3 linked regions of the Caenorhabditis elegans genome follow. The protein of the gene in region 1 purifies or fractionates together with the protein of each later gene. This does not show direct contact. Each region holds a gene or a part of one and is shown on either strand. Other genes may lie near its edges.

Region 1 (7,425 bases):
AAACTCGAAATACTATTCCAACAGCGTCATATTGTATTTCACATCTTACGGATGCATGTGATGAGATCTTCTCGATCTTCAGAGTTAGACAACCCGAAGACATTCTAGACGTAAAGGAGATCGATACGAGAGTGCTGGGAACTGCGATCACCATTGCAGGCGACAAGAGATTGCACTTTTGCCAATTCCAAGAATATTGCCGCAAGTTTACCATCAAAAATTGCCAAAAATCTTGCTCAATTTGTCAAAAAATCGATTATCGCAAAGACATGGCCAACATCCAGAAACACGCGGGGAGATTGGCAAATTGCATGAAATCTGGGACTTTGGAGGCACCGGCCACGTGGAAATATATGGAGTTGAACGGATCTAATCTGATAGTAGCTCTAGAAGCAGACACTGAAGGTTACATTTGTTTTGATCATTTTCCGACATTGAAATAATCGCGAATTGCAATAAATCGTTTAATTTATAATAATAAATCACAGAAACATGATTCTTCGTATTGTTACCTGTAACAATCACTGCATTCTTCGGATCTGATCCAAGAACTTCGACCATGTGGGCAGCATCTCCGATGCGAAGTGATGCGTGGCTGGCGAAGATCTGAAATTTTACTTTTTAGTAGATTAATTTCAATTTTTACTCACCACACAAGGAGTTTTGAATTCTTTAGAGAATGATCCGTATAGCGAATCGTAGATCTTTACTCGTCCGCTTTTGATAAGATTACTGTGACTGTACGGCTCTTCTGGCAGATATACAGCATTTTGACGGGATTCTGACATCCACTCGGCACTGATACTGGCCATTGCTATTGCGCTTTTAGCGACCGGGGAAATGAAGTAGATAGGGGTATCCAGGGGAATTCCATTCTGAAATCAATTTTTAAATTGTGAAAACCACCGGATTTCCTAATTACCGTAGTAGTGATGATGTCAGAAACCGCTTCAATCATTTCGAAAATGGGACCAACTGGACAAATTGGAAGCAGAACCGATCCATGTTTCTTCAGAACATCCGTGATAGTTTTGATAAGAGAATATCCCATTTCTTTTGCAGTTGTATCCACTAGTCTGCTCAATGAAGTGACAAGAATGTGATCAACGGCTCTAAGCGGCGCCGTCTCCATGAGCTTCACGTCTGTTGCAGAAGGATTCGAAGCACTGAGATATGCAAATTGCTCATTTTCTGTCTTGATTGTCCAGTAAGCTGAGCCATAAGTGTGTCCGGAAACTACAGGAGTCACTTTAATACGGAAGAGATCCTGGAAGTTGCAATTTTCTTAAATATATTCAAACTTCTTATTAACAACTTACAATTGTTTGATTAAAACTTAATGTGATTACTTTGGCAAGGCAACTGTGCATATCAGTTGTCGTGTAGTAGGGGCGCCACTCGACGGGATTTTGAAATGGAGGATTTGGAAATTTTCTGAAAAACGGAAAAAGGTTGAAAATTATGAAACATAATTTTTATTTTATAAACTGACCCACAAAACTCTTCTCTTTTCCATTTTTTATCACTTGGCAATACTTCAATTCGAGAAATGAACTCGAGCATTTCCTCCATCAAAAGTCTGTAAATTTTTATCTAGCAGTTGTAATATCCAATTTCTTATATCACTCACTTTCCGTACTGATACGCAATCTCCGTAACATAAATTTTCCCAGAAAATCCGGAACCCTCTGTGTAGAACGGCAAACCGACGAATGATTCATAGTTGGACACCAAAATTGCGTCGATTGTATCCATTTTTAGCATATCCGTCTGAAATGCGTCTAGTATTAAATTTAATTAATCTCCATGTTTACAAACCGATACGTGGAAAATTTCAGGTGGCGATTCGACGTAGACACGGTTTCCGAGCTCTTTCAGATACGGTATCTGAAACTTCTTGGCGATCGGAGCATTTTTGATTCGCGGGCTGAAATTTTTTGCTTTGAAAAGAAACGACGTCACTTTTCCTTGATTTACCTTTGATATACATGTGGGAGGAAGCTGAAAAATGGTGTGAAATCAATCGGAGTGTCCATAAGAATTCTGGCATTTGGCCATTCTAGCAGAAAACATGGTTTTTGTGCGTACACCGAGAAGTTTGTCTGAAATTAGTTATTTATTCCATCTGTCAAGTAGTTTTTTAATCAAAAACCTACGATATTCATTATTTTAGTCTTGTTTCAGCGCCCTTCCATTAATTTTTAGATAAATACAAAAAATAAGTTCGAATTAAATTGGATTCTGCGCTAAGTGCGGGTGCTGACGCATTACGCGATACTGTTTGCGTTATTTTCGAGATTTATTTTCGAAAGTGTCCCATTCAAGTTTCAGTCAGTTTCAGCCAAGTTTTCATTGATTTTTCTCATTTTAATCTTGAAAATGTCTTCCAAATACTCAAAAAAACGAAAACAGTTCGATGATGACACTTCTGAAGTTGGAAAAAATCGAGATTCATCAAGATCTCCATCTCCTCCACGATCGAAAAGGTAAGTGTTTTTGTTACTTTTTCTTTTTATTAATTCTGTAATTCACAGGTGAAATTGCAGATCTGCGAAACAGCGAGAGCCTGAGGATAATGGAGAACCGTAAGTATAACACGGAGAGCATTTCATTCAATAAAATAATTATTTTTCAGGGCGGATTCGATGTCAATCGAAGAAACAAACAAACTGCGCGCCTCGCTTGGTTTGGCTCCTCTTGAAACTAACGACAATAAGGAACGTGATGCTAATGATGGAACCAATGAGAAAATCTATAATGAGGATGGATTTGAGTTCAGACATCGAAAAGCTGAGAATATTTCTGATAAGAAAAAAGAAAAAGATATCAAAGAGAAGCTAGAAATCGCCAAAGCGAAACGAGATGTTTATTCAAAAGTCCTGAAAGCGAAGAAACTCGCAGATTCTGATGAAGAAGACAGTGCAGCCAGTTTTGTGAACAAAATGCGTCAGAAAGAAGATGAAGCCAAAAAGGCCGCCGATAGAGCTGCAGCTTTTGATCAACTTGACGAAGAGCTTGGTGTCAGTGCAATCGTCGATAAAGTGAAAAAGCCGAAGAAACCAAAAACCAAAGGGCCATCTGATACAGCTGGAATGGTTATTGGTCATGGGAGAGAGGCTTTTATTGAAGGTGATCAAATTTTGGTGCTTCAAGATAAGGGAGTTCTTGATGATGGAGACGAAGTTCTCGTGAATCCAAATCTGCTAGACAATGAACGTCACGTCAGAAATGTTGAATTGAGGAAACGGAAGGATCCTAATCGGAATTTTGATGAAGATGTCGACGAGTTTGGAAATGTAGGGATTTTATTTTAAAAGTTTAACTGATTCGTTATTTTTTCAGGCAAAAAACTTTGGTGTTCTTGCAAAGTACGATGAGACGTTGGAAGGAGAGCAAAAGAAACAGTTCCGACTTGACGAGCACGGTGGTGTCGATTTAGAAGAAGAAAGACGGTAGTTATTCAAAATATTTGAATGTAATATCTGATTCTTGCATTTTTCAGTGAAATGGAAGCGTTCCGTCGAATGAAAATGGCAGGAAAACGTTTGGAAAGTTTGGAGACTAAAAAATACGAGCTTGCCAGTGAATTCTACACCCAGGACGAGATGACACAATTCCGAAAAGTAAAGAAAGGCAAAAAGGAGAAGAATATTCGTAAAAGAAAGGTTCTGAAAGCCTCTGACTTGGTGCCCGTTGAAAAAGCTGGAGAAGGAAGAGATTTTGGAAGGAGAAGAAGGGATTCTGATGAACCAGAGGACGAAGGACTGAAGAAAGAGAAACAAGATGGAAAGGTAAGCGATTTTGACGAAAATTCTTTTTTCGTGTTGTTTTTCTATTTTTATGAAACAGAAAAGTTTATAAATGTTCGAAAATATGCTTTTATTTCAAAAGTATTAAAAAACAGGTTTCTTGTAGAGTTCCGCGAACGGTTAAGTTTGTTCTTTTTTTTCAATTCCTTGGAAAATTTTTTTAAAAAACATTTATGACCATTTTTTCATTTTTCAAAAGTGAAAAAAAACCAAAAAATAACTTGCGTCGAAATTGAAATCTCAATGATTTTTTTTGTGTTTTTCTTTTGTGGTATTTCGATATTTGGGACCAATCTGACTATTTTAATAAATAGGAAAATGATAAAATAGCGTTTCAGGATGAAGACGGCGAAATCAGTGACAAAGAAGTGCCAGAATCTTCATCTGACAATGGAAAATGGAAGAAGGCAATGCGAGGAAATGGAGTAGACCTTCAACGTCTTCAGAAGCTTCGTTCAAAGCATCAAATCGCTGAAGATGATGACAGTGATAACGATCTGATGTTCAGTGGAGGCGTTGATTTGACTGGAGTCGTAATTGACGACAACGCCGAAGAAGAGTTGAGCTCAATTCTGGCGAAGACTAGAAAAGTGAAGCAAATCGATGGGAAGCAGATGGATAACGATGTTGGAAAGAAAGTTCAAGATATTCTAACGAGTCATGGAGTCAAAATGGAGATTGATGAGGAGGAAGACGTTAAGCCGTTGAAAGAAGGTCAAATCTATATTGATTCTACGACAGAGTACTGTCGTCATGTTGGTGAGATCACAACTCTCGGTCTTGGAGGAAATCGTACTGTTGATGTATCGGAAGTCAAGAAAGTGAAGGAAGAAGAGATGGAACAAGAAGGAAGTGAAGGATTCGAGAAATGGAAGCGTGCTAAAGTTGATAAAGAATTGAAGGAAAAAGAGAAGAGAAAGTTGAGAGATCAAGGAGGATGGTTGGCTGCTGGAGAACCAGCTCCATCCAATGCAAGAATTGATAGTGATGATGAGGATGCATTGGAAGAGGCTAAGAAGAGGGTTGGTTTTAAAATACTCCGAATATTCGAATAGGCTAAAAATCACAAACCATCATGAAAAATCATGAAAAAAACGCTAAACATTTAAAATTCCAACTTTTAAAAACGCGGCTTCATATTGGACGAAATTAACGAGAGTTGATAATTTGCGTTTTCAAAAGTTTTTGTTTTTGGTATTTCTGCACATAGTATTTTGAAACTAAATCCGGATTTAGATTAATCCCTATTTTCCAAACTCCATATTTAATATTGCAATTAAAAATAATTTTCCAGAAGTGGTCGGAAGATGAAGAAGAGGATGAAGATATGGAAGAAGATAAGGATGATTATGCTCCAGCTCTCGGCCAGGAAGTTGATGTATCGAAGGGTGTCGGTCGAATGCTCAAACTGGCTGGACAAAAAGGATATCTTCAAAATCCGAATGCAAAATCTCATTCAGGACCTTCTCTGGATCATTTGAAAAACAAAACTACACAGCGAATCGATGGACAAAGATTGTTAGTTTTTATTTGTGAATTTAAAATTCGAAATTTTAAAATCAACTTTTTCCAGTGACCCCGATGATCGTAACGCCAAAAAAGCTGATCGTCTGAACTCTCAACACCGTGGACCAGTTATGCCATTCGCGGAGAAGCACGACTACAAGCCTGATGTTAACATAAGTTATGTAGACAGAAAAGGCCGTGAAATGGATGCCAAAGATGCGTACAGAGAGCTATCATACAAGTGAGTGTGTCTAGTGAATTTTGAAATTTACAACTTTTTTTTTTCAGGTTCCATGGTCGCAATCCGGGTAAGAAACAGTTGGAGAAACGAGCTAATCGTAAGGACAAAGAGGAGAGAATGCTCAAGGTAAAGAATATATTAAATTTGGCCTCTAGAACATTAACATTTTTACAGACAAACAGTTACGACACTCCACTGGGAACTCTTGATAAGCAGCGCAAAAAGCAAAAACAATTATCCACACCGTATCTTGTGCTCAGTGGATCTAGTGATCAGTGAGTTTTAAATTATTCTGATATTTAACAAATAATGAAAAATATTATTTCAGTTCGAGTCTCAAGAAGGAGTAACAAATGGACATTGTTTTGAATTTCCTGTATTCAATTTTATAATTCTATTGCTGTTATGCAAACAGTCATTTCATTTTCATTGAAGTTTCAGATAATTAAATTATTGTAATTTTCATTCTTTTTTCGCGAATATATCTACATTTTCTTCATTTGACTTTCTGATTTCTCCGAATTTCCTCTTTTGGAAGTACTCCAAAAATCGTACAAGAAGTTACAATAGTATTAGGGGGACACACAATTCTGAAAATTCGTATTGCGCAACATAAATATCTCGTAGCGAAAACTACAGAAACTCTTAAAAGAAAAGACTACTACAGCGCTTTTGTCGATTTACGGAAATTATGTATTTAACACAAAACAGTACGAAAAAACTCAAGAAAATTTAATACCACTGTCACAATTCGCACAGAAAGTCGATCCCGTAAATCGACACCAGCGCTACAGTAGTTTCATTTAATTTAAGAGTTACTGTAGTTTTCGCTACGAGATATTTTGTGCGTCAACTGTGTTGTGCAATAGTCATTTTCACAACTTAATGTTCCCGTAATAAATAACCAAAGCCCAATAACAAAAGTTCAAGAAACGTTTACATCCATCAATCAAACTTTATTGGGCAGGAGGTGTAGGTAGCATAATAATAATTATTTAGCTTTTGAATATATTTTTTATATTTTCAAAACGATGTTGAAATCTAAAACCGTCGCATTTTTTCTTCGAGCATTCATTTATTTCAGCGTAAGTTTCATTGCAATATGTTTGAACTATTTTGAGTTGCATATATAAGTAGGTACAAAATGTATTGCATGATGCCTACAAGCGTTCTTACTTCAAAAATACGGGGTTGTGAGTTGGGAGCATGTTGCTCATAAGGCAAACGCATAGGCAGATAGGCATAATGCGAACCAAACACCTGAGTTTGCGCCTATATCATGAAAACAAAATGTAGGCGTCTTTAGGCAGGCACCTAGGTATGCAGACATTTTGTCTTAGCAGTTTCAAATTCCAGAATTCTCAAATTCATATAGTTGTCTTCAATGGTGTAATGGATGTACATCGGGGAATACTACTCCAGAAACGAAATTGCACAGAGACGAAACCAAAAAATGTCGATTTCTTGAATTGTGTCATAAATTGTGGCCTTGACATTCATTGTCAGGTATCTTCACAGAGACCTACATACTCCTCAATAAATCGTATGATTTTAATCCCAGATTTGTTTCGAAACTAACTATGGGTCATGTGCTCATTGTGCTTCAGACGCAGTCGTTTTTGTGGAGCCCAAAGTTGGGGGATTTGCAATTGGAATGAAAGCAAGTAGAATTTATTTCGATTGATTTGAAATAATCAGTTTAATTCTAGGTACCGTTAACTCGTAACATCACGGAGTCATGTCCAGCCGGAAAGACAATTGTGGAGATTACAACATCCGGCAATTTGACTAAAACTTTGGAGTTATAACTTTTAATTTTGAGCATGTAAAAATAAAAATAATTTTGCTTTCACAGATTATTGAAAAAAT
Region 2 (7,981 bases), on another chromosome or scaffold:
TTTTTGCAGAAAGATCAGAATCAGTACGTGCCATTGCAGATAAATCGGCTTCGTCGAGGTTGCCATGTGCATCAAACAAAAATATCTCGAAAAATACAACTTTTCGAGATTGATAACTGAATGAATTATCGAAGCAGACTTGATAATCTCCTGGTTGATTCAGTTCAATTCGATGGGATCCGTCGACTTTCAGCTGGTCCTGCTTCAGAATGTTCGCCCCGTGAAGTATCATGAAATTGATATTTAAGTCACCACCGTCGATTACCTGAAATCAAGATTTAAAATGCAGCAAATGGTTTAGAATTATAAAATACCTGATAATCAACTTCGAGGGTTTTGTGTTTTGCAAGATCCACAGGTTGAAAAAAGCACTGGAATTTTCCGGCAGGAACTTCGACTGTAAAATCGTACTCTCCACATAGAATAAATGGAGTGATGAGAAGAATTACAGTGATTATATTGGTGAATTCACCCATTGCTGAAATTAATTGATTTTAAGAGAAAGCCAACAAATTGACGATGCATTTTTGTAGTAAAGCTATTGAAAACGAGGCAATAACATATTTTCAAGACAATAATTTCAGAATTACAGCTTCGGAAAATTGTTTAATGCAATTATTTAATTCATTTATATCTTTAATTTTATAATAAATAAGATAAAAACAAAAAATTAACGAAAAACTCGCATAGTTTACGTGTAAATCTTCAGAGTTTGTCTGTGTCCAATAGAGCGCGATTACACCTATTTTTTTTCAAATCAGAATTTTTCTTTCACTGGCGTGATGGAAAGATAAATTACGATTAAAAACGTTCAATAGGTATAAATTTAATTTTTAGTATGTTTTGAAGTTATTTTCATAAGCTTTTAACGCAGAAAACACGACACCAAATAATTTCTGGGCCTGCTTTACAGGAACATTTTCAAAAATAACTCTTGGGTCTTGAAATGCTTACAGTAGTCTTCAGATTTCTTTTTTCCAGTTTTCATTTGTTTTGCGCATGCGTTTTTTGCGATAAATTGTTTAATTTCCTTCACAAATACATTATTTTTACATCCTTATACGTAGAAAACGACGGTATTTCAATTTAGGTAAAAATTTTCAGAGTTTACTGTGTGAAACATCTGAAAATTGATGCCACATGAAATCCTGAGTATCTTCTGTTCACAATTTATTGGTTTTAAACTTAAATATTGGTTTTGATCAGATTTTTTTCTAATTATTTCGAAATTCGGTTAGCCAACGATAGTGAGTAAATATTGTCAATTTCCACAATTTTCCTTTCGTCCATTTTTCTTCAAATTGATTTGATTATTGATTATTTTTCTTATAATTTTCTTGAATTTAAATTCCCCAGTCTATAGAAATTAATTTTAAACTAGTTCTCATTTTGTGTTTCCATAGAGCGCATTTACACTCTTCTCATGCACTTTTCCCCGCCTCGTGCCTGCCTCTCCCATCGCTCGCTCTCTCCAGCCATTCTCATTTCCACATTTACTTTTCACCCAACGATTTCATTTTCGAAAATGTTTTCTGTATAAAATGCATCCGATTTTTACAGTTTAGCTTTCGTTTTTCGTAATGGAAATATAGTAGTTTCGGTTTCATCGATTACTGCTTCATTCTGTACTCTCCCATAATTTTAAAACAAAAGCCGAATTCTTAGATTAAAACATCTACTTATTCCTCCACTATTATCTTTTCTCATCTCGATAAATTAAAATAAGAATTTTTACGTATCATTTTCACTTGTTACATTATCGATTTTTCGAAAATTTCAGCTTTTCAGAGATGCCTCGCTCAGACGGATTTTCTCCGCGCAAAAATTTGCGGAGATCTGCTCGAGATCACTCGCGTTCGTATGCGGGTCAGTGCAACGAGGATTTTGATGACATGTACGCACCATCAAGCAGAAGAGTGAGTTAATTCAAAACATATACATTTTTAAATTGACTATTTACAGAGAAGCAGCGGTGGTGTAGATGGAAATGGGTACACACGTTCCGGACGGAAAATTAATCACAATCGTTATTACGAAGAGGAATATCATGAGGCAATTAGCAGCGAGGAAGATGAAAGACGATATCGAACTCGAAGGTTTTTTGATAATTTTGACAAAAAATATTATAATTGTTAAAATTTAGAAGCTCGAATTCGATGACATACAGACAACAAGTAATGCAGGCGATAGATGAATCCAAGCGAAATCAAAAAGTGCCGCCTGCAAAACGAAAGCGGATATATTTGTCTGACGAGGAAGAGGAAGATTTTGCTGAAGCGGCGCACGTTGAGAACACAGTCCCCGAGCGTGCAACTCGACGTAGCACCAGAAGACGTTCATCAATGCACGAAGAACTTGGAGGTACACGAATCGCATAATTTCAAAAATATAAGCGAATTTCAGTTTCAGAACAGGAAGAGTCGCCGGTTCGCAGGACTCGCAAAGCCGCCAAGCGCCTTGGAAGTGAGCAACCAGAGGAAAATCTAGCAGCAGATGATCCGTTGCCAATGGAAGGAGGTGGCGAGATTGTGCTACCAATTGCTGAAATTGATGGAATGGCTGAACAAGAAAATGAGGACTTGATTGAGAAAATTGGAAGGGAAGAAGAGGAGGAAGGCGCTGAAGAAGATGAGCAAAGCGGTGAAAAAGATCCAGAAGAAGAAGAGGATGATAGCAGCAATGCAGAAAGTTCAGAGGAATCAACTGCTCCACGTCAATACAGTCTTCGCCGCCGTCAACCAGTTGTCCAGTTCAATGCATCAGAAGCTCGTGAAAATCGACGGGCTCGTCTTGAACATCATCGGGTTGCAAATCAAAACAGACATCACCGCAATCGAAATGGATCTCGTCGAAGACGAAGCGATTCGGATTCTGATAGTGATGATATGGTGCTTCCGAGACCTGATAAACGTCAATCGAGGCCTCATATGCATAACCGTGGAGAACGTGAACGTGGTCGATTTATGCCGATCAATATGACCGAAAAAGAATTGCAGTCTGCCCAACACATTCTGATGGATCGAATGAGAAAAACTGATGCTGGTCAAGGTGCAAGTGACATTGATCCAATGAGTGTTGATTCGTCGGTTGGTTTCGATCAAGTTGGAGGACTCGGTCATCATATTCAATCTCTCAAAGAAGTTGTCCTTTTCCCAATGCTTTATCCTGAAGTATTTGAAAAGTTCAGAATAAATCCGCCAAAAGGTGTCGTATTCTATGGGCCCCCAGGAACCGGAAAAACTCTTGTTGCACGTGCTCTTGCGAATGAATGCCGAAGAGGAGCCAACAAAGTTGCATTCTTTATGCGAAAAGGAGCTGATTGTTTGAGTAAATGGGTCGGAGAGTCTGAAAGACAACTTCGACTATTGTTTGATCAAGCATATGCCATGCGTCCATCAATTATCTTTTTTGATGAAATCGATGGTTTAGCTCCAGTTCGTTCTTCGAAACAAGATCAAATTCATGCGAGCATAGTGAGTACATTGTTAGCACTGATGGACGGATTAGATGGTCGAGGAGAAGTTGTTGTAATTGGAGCTACAAATCGATTAGATACTCTTGATCCAGCTCTACGAAGACCAGGACGTTTTGATAGGGAACTCCGTTTTTCCCTTCCTGATTTGAATGCCCGACGACAAATTTTAGATATTCACACTTCCAAATGGGAGGAAAACAAACCGATTCCGGAAACACTCGATGCTATTGCAGAGAGAACTAGTGGATATTGCGGTGCCGATTTGAAATTCTTGTGCACAGAAGCAGTTCTTATTGGATTGAGATCTCGATATCCTCATATCTACATGTGTTCTGAAAGGCTGAAACTCGACGTTGCCACCATTAAAATCACTTCTGAGCATTTTGGACATGCAATGCGGAGGATCACACCTGCTTCCAGACGAGATCTTACAATTCCATCGAGACCATTGGATGAACGAACTTCAATTTTACTTGGAGATACTGTGAGCAACTTGATTTCGTTGAGAATTCCACAAGGATATCGATGCGTGGAAAATGCAATGGCGACAGCTTCAAGCGAACTGGAACAAGTTGTTAGGGCATTGGAACCTAATCCAACCGTGCCTGCTATTCGTCTTCTTCTATGTGGATCTGAGCAACTCGCGGACGGTGGACAAACGTCTTACGTTCTTCCCGCCATTCTAGCAAAACTGGATCATCTACCGGTGTTCTCTCTTTCTGTTTCAAGTCTTTTAACAGATGGACGTCCAGAAGAAGCATTTTCAAATGCAATTCAGTCGGCAATGCGTGCATCAGCAACCGGCCCATGTATCATGCTTCTTCCATCAATCGATGAATGGATTAAAGTCATTCCTGTATCAGTTCAACATATGCTTATCACATGTCTGGAATCAATGACTGGTTTCACGCCGATTCTTTTCCTATCGACGCTTGACACTTCGTTTGAAGATGCGCCTGAATATGTCACGGAAATTTTCAGACATGCAAACTGTATCACGTGAGTATAACTAGAAATGTGTTTTCAGAACATTTTTAAAATATAATAATTTTCAGTTTGAATCCTTCCCGCCGAACAATTCGTCAAAAATATTTCGAGCACGTTATTGAGAAGATTAACACTCCACCAAAAGTATTTGATCGTAAGTCTCAACGAAATACAATTTTTTAAAAATTTTAAATCCTTTGTCCATATTTCAGCAACAGTCTATGAGATGCCTCTACCAGATGACGATTCTCCCGATTCGAAGCCTTCTAGAAAGCTCAATGATGACGAGACAAGAGAACTTTTGAAGATGTACACTGCTTTGCAGCGACAAATGAGATTATTCTTCAAAGAGAGGCTCAGTGAGTTTTAATATTCCGCATGCTCAACCTCATTGAATATTTTCAGCACGTCTTATGCGAGATCGTCGATTCGTTGAATTTGTCGAGCCCGTGGATCCGGATGAGGCTGAGGACTATTATGAGATTATCGAAACACCGATTTGTATGCAGGATATTATGGAAAAGCTGAATAATTGCGAATATAATCATGCGGACAAATTTGTTGCTGACTTGATATTGATTCAAACGAATGCTCTCGAATATAATCCGTCGACAACAAAAGACGGAAAACTGATTCGTCAAATGGCAAATACACTTCGAGATGCAATTGATGATCTGATCGAGTGTGAACTTGACGAATCGTTTGTCGAACGAATTGAAACAGTTTCACGAATGCTACAAGACGCTGGAGTAACTCCAACCTCTGATAAATTACTCACAGAAATTCCCAAAGGTTTTGCCCGAAAAAAGGCGTGGTCTATGACCAATTCACTTGCAAAAGAAATTGAGCAATGGACATCAGAGCGTGAAGCTGAAAATCAAAAAATGTTGAGCAAGCTTGGTGTAGCTGCTCCAACATTGGAACTCGTTGTTGTCCCTGTAGAAGATATGAAAAGTGAAGAAGGAACGAGCACATCAACTGATGGAGTTCCAGCTTCTGCTGGAAATAAAAAGAAATTGCTCAAAAAGAAGAAGGGTCAAAAGAAAAGCAAAACCGGCGAATCTGAAGAGCACGATGAAGATAGTACAGTTGAAGACGCAGGAGAAGATACAATTGTAGAAAATCTTGAAATCAAGAAAAATCAGGAAACTCCAAACAGTGAACATGATATCGAGATGAAAGATGCTTCTAAAGATTCTACACCTTCCGTGCAAATTTCGATTGCTGAGAAAGAATTGATAGTTTCGAAGCCAGCAACATGCGAGCTGATTCAGTGTTGTGTCGAAAAGTCGGAGGGTTGGTCAGTCAGCGAGTTGGAACGTTTGTCTTCTGTTCTATCACATACAATTGAACGATTCCGGTGAGTTATATGATTTTTTATTACCTCGCTGTTCTTTTTGTTTGAACTAAAAGGAAATGTTAAGGATTTTTGGAACGTTTTAAAACATAGAAAACATTTATTATGAAGGTTGTTTATATTTTTGAAAATTTCAAAAATTGATAATTTCGTTATTTTGAAAAAAAATTGAAATTTTCAATAATTTCCGGTTAATTGAAAAAATTTCAATTCAATTGAAAAAATGCTCGTAATTTTCTGTACATTTCTTCGGCTTTTCCGTGATTTTCCTATTTTGATATTTTCGATATTCTCTGAAAAATCCCGAAAAAATTGTAGTCACAATGTAGAATAAAATAAACAATATTTATTTTTAACAATTAAATATTATTCAGGGACGAATGGAACCGCGAAAATCTACCAGCCCAACTTACCCAAATTGTACGTGAATGGCAAACAGCTGACGATTCGAACAATACAATTGTTAATGGAACCCTCAACAAATCGAATGGAAATCTTGCCAATGGACACTAAATGATGTCCCATCCTCCTCTTCCAATCTACCTCCGTTTATCGATTTTATAATTTCAAACTGAAATCCGTTTTATCATAATTTCCACCAGTTTTCCTCTTGTCAAAAACCCCTTTGTGCGAAAGAAAACTTTCAAAATAAGTGCGGCTACCGTGATACTCACCTATTTTTCTTTGTCCATTTTTATTCAAATTAAATCTCTACCATAATTAATTCCCCTCCAATTTATTCGAGTGAGCATTGCCTGCCTCTCGGGTGTATTCACGTGCCCTTCTATTATTTCATTAATCTTTTCCATTATCTTTAACCTGGTCTTTCGAAAATGAGTAAATTGTGAATCATTCGATGTTTAATGCTAATACCTATTTTTGTTTTAATGATCCGTTTAACTTCGGATATTTATATATTTTCGATTTTATTTTAAATTTATAATATATTCAATCATCTAAACTTTTTCTTTCAGATGGACTTTCAGAACAGAGCTGGAGGAAAAACGGGAAGCGGAGGAGTGGCTTCGGCCGCCGATGCTGGTGTTGATCGACGGGAACGGCTCCGCCAGTTGGCTCTAGAGACAATTGATCTTCAAAAGGATCCGTATTTCATGCGAAATCACATTGGAACGTACGAATGCAAGCTGTGTCTTACTCTTCACAACAATGAAGGATCTTATTTGGCACATACACAAGGAAAGAAGCATCAAGCGAATCTTGCACGGCGTGCCGCTAAAGAACAATCTGAACAACCATTTCTACCAGCTCCACAGAAAGCTGCAGTTGAAACTAAAAAGTTTGTGAAAATCGGACGTCCTGGATACAAGGTAACAAAAGAACGTGATCCAGGAGCTGGCCAGCAAGCACTTCTCTTCCAAATTGATTATCCGGAGATTGCTGACGGTATTGCGCCACGTCATCGATTTATGTCTGCTTATGAGCAAAAGATTCAGCCTCCAGACAAGAGATGGCAATACCTCTTGTTTGCTGCTGAGCCGTATGAAACGATTGGATTCAAAATTCCATCAAGGTGAGGCTTTACAACATTTTAGCACTTTTCTATCTCATAGTTACGATTAAAAAAATTGTATATACCAAGTAATTTTTTCCAGAGAAGTTGACAAATCTGAAAAATTTTGGACGATGTGGAACAAAGACACGAAGCAATTCTTCTTACAAGTCGCATTCAAATTGGAACGACTCGATGATCAGCCGTACTATTGATACTCTATGTTTTTATCTTTTTGATTTCAAAATTCAAAACAATTTTTTCGTGTTTTTCGATGATCTAACAATAAATTATTTTCCTTTTTTTTAATGATGATATTTTATTTAAATCAAGTATAGGTTGACTGATCCGTCTACAATGTCTATTCAATTAAAATTATAGTTTTCATAGTTTAAAAAATCAGTTTCAGATGGCGAAGAAGGTTGTCAAAAGAAAAGCTGAAGCAGTGTCCGCTGACGCAGAAGCCGTTGCAGAAGCTCCGAAGAAAATCAAGAAGCAGAAACCAAGTCTTCCAGTCTCTGAACCTGATAATTATCAGGCTGGTGGATTATCAAGTCTCTTCGGAAAGTCGTCAGAAGGAGCAGCAGTACAAGAGGAAGTTGTGAAGGGAGATAAAGTAATTGAAAAACCTAAAAGAAGAAAGTATGATCCA
Region 3 (5,617 bases), on another chromosome or scaffold:
CACAATCGGTGAATAGCTCATCTTCCCACATACTTCGATTATTTGCGCGTACAATTACTTCAGGCATTTCTTCTTGCTCCTCTGTGCTAACATCTTCGTCCACAACTGGCTCAACTGATATTTTTGATCCAGGAGGGAAGTATTCAACTTCACAAATCAAAAAGAGAGTTCCGTCAGATCGAAGTGCCCCAAGCATCTTATCACGCGAAACTTGGAACTTTCCACGCCCTTGTTGGTTTGTGAAATCTTTGGTATCTCTGCATACACTGACTCTTTGATTATTAGCATCGAGAGCATAAATTTGAAATTCTGTCATGATGGGCTCCTCTCCTCTCTGAAAAAGGTTTTTATATTTTATATATAGAAAATATGAATGAAACTTACGGCTAATCCAACTTGTCTCAAGAAAAACGATACATTATTCACATCTTCATCACGCTTTCCATTTGGATACACATGAAGTTCCCAGCAAACTGTTGGCGCATCAGGGACACTAAACATTCTTGAAATAAGATTCGAACCGTTTTTGATTAGTTTCATCAATTTCTCAAATTGTTCGATTTTCCATTCCAATTTTGTAGAAAGTGCCGTCACACGCGTTGCTTGCTTCGAAACTACTTCTAGACGGCGAGGTTGTGGAGGAAGATCGTCAGCTGAAAATGAAAATAATGTTAAACTCTCAAATTAATTGAGCTATTCTCACTAACCTCTGGAACTGATTGTGCGATTAATCTGCTCCGTGGATGACCACGAGGAACGTGAAGACATATTATATTGCGAATAAGTTTTACCTCTGTTGATAAGTTGAGCGAGCAAGAGGTTATTCTGAAAATAAATTCAATTAAAAGAAAGCTATTCCCGATAATCTCGATAAAAATAAAAGAAAATGATTAAATTCAAAAAGACACAACAACTGGGAAACTCCGCGAATGAATTATTTACGAAAAGCAGGAGTTCTTTGTTAGAGTTACGAAATAAGCAATACGATTTTCGAAACCGATCTACGAAAAATTACACATATTAGAAAAGTATTAAAATTACGAAATCGCCGTTTGATATTCGAAAATACTACCTTTTTTTTAAGTTGGACAGTTTTTAAAGTTTTCAAAAGGAGATCTTCATGAACTCGTCTATGAGGAATAAATGTGGTACATTTCAATATAAAATGGGTAACAATGACAGTTTGGAAATAATTTCCTTTTCGAAAAATTGATATTTGTACAAAATTCGGAACAGTTTCGAAAAAATGATATTACCCCAGTCACATGACTTGAAAAAGGAAAAGTTGCAATTCAGAAGCTTTACTCAGATTCTGAGGGCAATAGAAAATGCCAATAAGTTTTCGAAAAATCAATAAATTTTTTCGGGCAGATGTCTTTCCTCGGCGGCGGCGAACGCGAACGCAAATAATGGCTGCCAAGAAGAGGCGGGTCTATTGATCGAAACATTACGCCGAAGAGTGTTTGAATTACCGGGCACCGTAACCTCAAACACCTGCAGATCTAAGTACGACGCTCCACTCGACACAATTGCGCGCGTTGTTTAGATTTAAGGAAATTTAAATTTTACTTTCGAAAATAGAAATTATCGGTTTTTATTCATGATTTTCTGGTTCAGTCTGAATAAATTCCGTTTTTTAATGTAAATTTTGTGCGCTATTAACTGTAATGCACAATTCCAACTATCAATTCATGTGATCTTACAGTCTAAACAAAGACAAATCTCTCTTTCCAGTTTCTCTACAGTAATACTTATTTTTCCTTGCTCGTCAACTCATTGATTAGTTTTAATTCTATTTTTATATAGTGTGTTATAGGTATGGCCAACTACGGCGGTCATCCCCAAACTGAACCACATGCTATCCCGGATTCAATTCTGGAAGAAAAGTCTCGAAAATGGAAACAACTTCAAGGAAAGCGGTATTCGGAGAAAAAGAAGTTTGGAATGTCCGATACGCAGAAAGAAGAAATGCCACCTGAGCACGTCCGAAAAGTTATCAGAGATCATGGTGATATGACTTCTCGCAAATATCGTCATGATAAAAGAGTCTACCTCGGTGCTTTGAAATATATGCCACATGCCGTTTTGAAGCTACTGGAGAACATGCCGATGCCCTGGGAACAAATCAGAGATGTAAAAGTTCTGTATCACATCACCGGTGCGATCACTTTTGTCAACGACATTCCGCGTGTCATCGAGCCGGTCTACATGGCACAATGGGGAACGATGTGGATTATGATGAGAAGAGAAAAACGTGATCGTCGTCATTTCAAGCGAATGAGATTCCCTCCATTTGACGATGAAGAACCGCCTCTCGATTATGCTGATAATATTCTGGATGTCGAGCCTTTAGAGCCAATTCAAATGGAACTAGATCCAGAAGAAGACGGAGCTGTTGCTGAATGGTTCTACGATCACAAGCCTCTTGCAACAACTCGATTTGTGAACGGCCCAACGTACAGAAAATGGGCATTCAGTATTCCACAGATGTCCACATTGTATCGTCTTGCAAATCAGCTGCTTACCGATTTAGTAGATGATAACTACTTCTACTTGTTTGACATGAAAAGTTTCTTCACTGCTAAAGCACTCAACGTTGCAATTCCAGGAGGCCCGAAGTTCGAACCATTGGTAAAAGATTTACATACGTAAGTGAAAAGCTTCCAGTTGTGTTATGACGCATACTATTTTATTATTTTCAGTGATGAAGACTGGAACGAGTTCAATGATATCAATAAAGTTATTATTCGAGCTCCAATTCGTACCGAGTACAGAATTGCATTCCCATTCATGTACAACAATCTGATCAGCTCGCTGCCTGTTCAAGTTTCATGGTATCATACTCCTTCAGTTGTATTTATCAAAACTGAAGACCCAGATCTTCCCGCATTCTACTATGATCCATTGATCAATCCAATCGTTCTCAGCAACTTGAAAGCAGTGAGTTATTTACAAGTTTCAGCAATGTTTTAAAATAAAATGCGGATATTATAAACAGATTCCTATAAATTTACAAGGTAGTCAGTAGCCGAAATTCGCAATATAAATTTTCCATTAAAGGCGAGAAATCATCCTTTTTGTCGGTGATATCTAGAAATAAAACTGGAGACAATTCGTATTGTATGTCAAAACATTTTCAGACTGAAGAAAATCTACCAGAAGGTGAAGAGGAAGACGAGTGGGAGCTGCCTGAAGATGTTCGACCCATTTTTGAAGACGTTCCACTCTACACCGATAACACGGCTAATGGTTTAGCACTTCTATGGGCCCCTCGGCCATTCAATCTTCGATCGGGAAGAACGAGAAGAGCAGTGGATGTACCACTTGTCAAATCGTGGTATAGAGAACATTGTCCAGCAGGTTAGTTTTGTTTCTATTTTTTTCGTTTCGTTTCTCGCATACTAAGCTGAAATAATATATTCAATTTTTCAGGAATGCCCGTGAAAGTTCGTGTTTCTTATCAGAAACTGCTCAAGGTGTTTGTTCTGAACGCTCTCAAACATCGTCCACCGAAGCCCCAGAAGCGTCGTTATCTGTTCCGTTCCTTCAAGGCAACAAAATTCTTCCAAACAACCACCCTGGATTGGGTAGAAGCTGGATTGCAAGTTCTTCGTCAAGGATACAACATGCTCAATTTGCTCATTCACCGAAAGAATCTCAACTATCTTCATCTTGATTACAACTTCAATTTGAAACCAGTTAAAACATTGACAACAAAGGAAAGAAAGAAATCTCGTTTCGGAAATGCATTCCATTTGTGCAGAGAAATCCTTCGTCTCACAAAACTTGTTGTTGATGCCCATGTTCAGTATCGTTTGAACAACGTCGATGCGTACCAACTTGCAGATGGTCTACAATATATCTTTGCTCACGTCGGTCAACTGACCGGAATGTATCGTTACAAGTACAAGCTCATGAGACAAGTCAGAATGTGCAAGGATCTCAAGCATCTCATCTACTATCGTTTCAACACTGGGCCGGTTGGTAAAGGACCTGGATGTGGTTTTTGGGCTCCGGGATGGAGAGTTTGGTTGTTCTTCTTGCGTGGAATCACACCACTGCTCGAGAGATGGCTTGGAAATCTGTTGTCTCGACAATTCGAAGGAAGACATTCAAAGGGAGTGGCCAAGACAGTCACCAAGCAAAGAGTTGAATCTCATTTCGATCTTGAATTACGGTAAGCTTTAAATGGCAAGAAAACGAATTTATTTATTAATATTTTCAGTGCTGCTGTCATGCATGACATTCTGGATATGATGCCGGACGGAATCAAACAAAATAAGGCTCGTGTTATTCTTCAGCATTTGTCAGAGGCGTGGAGATGTTGGAAGGCTAATATTCCATGGAAGGTTCCCGGACTGCCAACTCCAGTTGAAAATATGATTCTACGTTATGTGAAAGCAAAGGCTGATTGGTGGACTAATTCGGCACATTACAACAGAGAACGTGTAAGACGAGGAGCGACAGTAGACAAAACTGTGTGCAAGAAGAACTTGGGTAGATTGACAAGATTATACCTGAAATCAGAGCAAGAAAGACAACACAATTACTTGAAGGACGGACCATATATCTCTGCAGAAGAAGCTGTTGCAATTTACACGACTACAGTACATTGGCTGGAATCAAGAAGATTTTCTCCGATTCCTTTCCCACCACTTTCTTACAAACACGACACAAAACTTCTTATTTTGGCTCTTGAAAGACTGAAGGAAAGTTACAGTGTGAAGAATAGATTGAATCAATCCCAAAGAGAAGAACTGGCTTTAATTGAACAGGCTTATGATAATCCTCACGAAGCTTTGTCTCGTATCAAGAGACACATGCTCACGCAGCGTGCATTCAAAGAAGTCGGAATTGAGTTTATGGATCTCTACACTCATCTTATTCCAGTCTACGATATCGAGCCTCTTGAGAAAGTCACTGACGCTTACCTCGATCAATACCTCTGGTATGAAGCAGACAAGAGAAGATTGTTCCCGGCATGGGTGAAACCAGGAGATACTGAACCACCACCGCTTCTTACATACAAATGGTGTCAAGGTCTCAACAATCTTCAAGATGTTTGGGAGACAAGTGAAGGAGAGTGTAATGTCATCATGGAAACAAAATTGGAGAAAATTGCTGAAAAAATGGATTTGACACTTCTCAATAGATTGCTCAGATTGATTGTGGATCACAATATTGCCGATTACATGACTTCGAAGAACAACGTTCTCATCAACTATAAGGATATGAACCACACCAATTCTTTCGGAATTATTCGTGGTCTACAATTTGCTTCGTTTATTGTTCAATTCTATGGATTAGTTCTTGATCTTCTTGTTCTTGGACTTCGACGAGCTTCCGAAATTGCCGGTCCGCCCCAATGTCCAAACGAGTTCTTGCAATTCCAGGATGTTGCCACAGAAATTGGTCACCCTATTCGTCTCTACTGCCGGTACATCGACCGAGTTTGGATCATGTTCCGTTTCAGTGCTGATGAAGCACGTGATTTGATTCAAAGATACTTGACAGAGCATCCAGATCCGAATAATGAGAATATTGTCGGTTATAACAACAAAAAGTGTTGGCCAAGAGACGCTAGAATGAGATTGATGAAACATGATGTCAATTTGGG

Evidence for each region. The genes of interacting proteins can lie anywhere in the genome.
Region 2: the proteins of snu-66 (region 1) and lex-1 fractionate together in Caenorhabditis elegans (co-fractionation; one large-scale study listed by BioGRID). This does not show direct contact.
Region 3: the proteins of snu-66 (region 1) and prp-8 fractionate together in Caenorhabditis elegans (co-fractionation; one large-scale study listed by BioGRID). This does not show direct contact.

The regions. Positions count from the first base shown.
Region 1 is NC_003283.11:7,570,579-7,578,003, reverse strand, and holds snu-66 (SNU66/SART1 family protein), read left to right. Parts: upstream 1-2,333; 5' UTR 2,334-2,379; coding exon 2,380-2,486; intron 2,487-2,546; coding exon 2,547-2,585; intron 2,586-2,635; coding exon 2,636-3,296; intron 3,297-3,342; coding exon 3,343-3,452; intron 3,453-3,502; coding exon 3,503-3,791; intron 3,792-4,147; coding exon 4,148-4,831; intron 4,832-5,103; coding exon 5,104-5,327; intron 5,328-5,382; coding exon 5,383-5,556; intron 5,557-5,603; coding exon 5,604-5,682; intron 5,683-5,730; coding exon 5,731-5,831; intron 5,832-5,884; coding exon 5,885-5,906; 3' UTR 5,907-6,054; downstream 6,055-7,425. Other genes in the region: ets-6 (Lin-15A/B-like domain-containing protein), read left to right, coding at 1-443; ints-9 (Beta-Casp domain-containing protein), read right to left, coding at 513-606, 651-875, 923-1,267, 1,320-1,434, 1,493-1,579, 1,631-1,770, 1,819-1,927, 1,978-2,102 and 1 more; F19F10.14 (DUF2769 domain-containing protein), read left to right, coding at 6,949-7,062, 7,118-7,216, 7,266-7,364.
Region 2 is NC_003282.8:12,077,685-12,085,665, forward strand, and holds lex-1 (Tat-binding homolog 7), read left to right. Parts: upstream 1-1,788; 5' UTR 1,789-1,790; coding exon 1,791-1,916; intron 1,917-1,962; coding exon 1,963-2,096; intron 2,097-2,143; coding exon 2,144-2,361; intron 2,362-2,403; coding exon 2,404-4,474; intron 4,475-4,530; coding exon 4,531-4,616; intron 4,617-4,674; coding exon 4,675-4,821; intron 4,822-4,867; coding exon 4,868-5,822; intron 5,823-6,193; coding exon 6,194-6,332; 3' UTR 6,333-6,678; downstream 6,679-7,981. Other genes in the region: tmed-1 (GOLD domain-containing protein), read right to left, coding at 1-265, 315-476; repo-1 (Splicing factor 3A subunit 2), read left to right, coding at 6,794-7,350, 7,433-7,544; rbm-34 (RRM domain-containing protein), read left to right, coding at 7,739-7,981. UniProt on the Caenorhabditis elegans protein: Thought to form a complex that enhances transcription from repetitive DNA sequences by modulating chromatin structure.
Region 3 is NC_003281.10:8,162,559-8,168,175, forward strand, and holds the start of prp-8 (Pre-mRNA-splicing factor 8 homolog), read left to right. Parts: upstream 1-1,814; 5' UTR 1,815-1,818; coding exon 1,819-2,648; intron 2,649-2,702; coding exon 2,703-2,940; intron 2,941-2,981; exon of another isoform or gene 2,982-3,114; intron 3,115-3,140; coding exon 3,141-3,360; intron 3,361-3,432; coding exon 3,433-4,177; intron 4,178-4,225; coding exon 4,226-5,617. Other genes in the region: bath-42 (BTB and MATH domain-containing protein 42), read right to left, coding at 1-334, 385-653, 708-768. UniProt on the Caenorhabditis elegans protein: Functions as a scaffold that mediates the ordered assembly of spliceosomal proteins and snRNAs. Required for the assembly of the U4/U6-U5 tri-snRNP complex.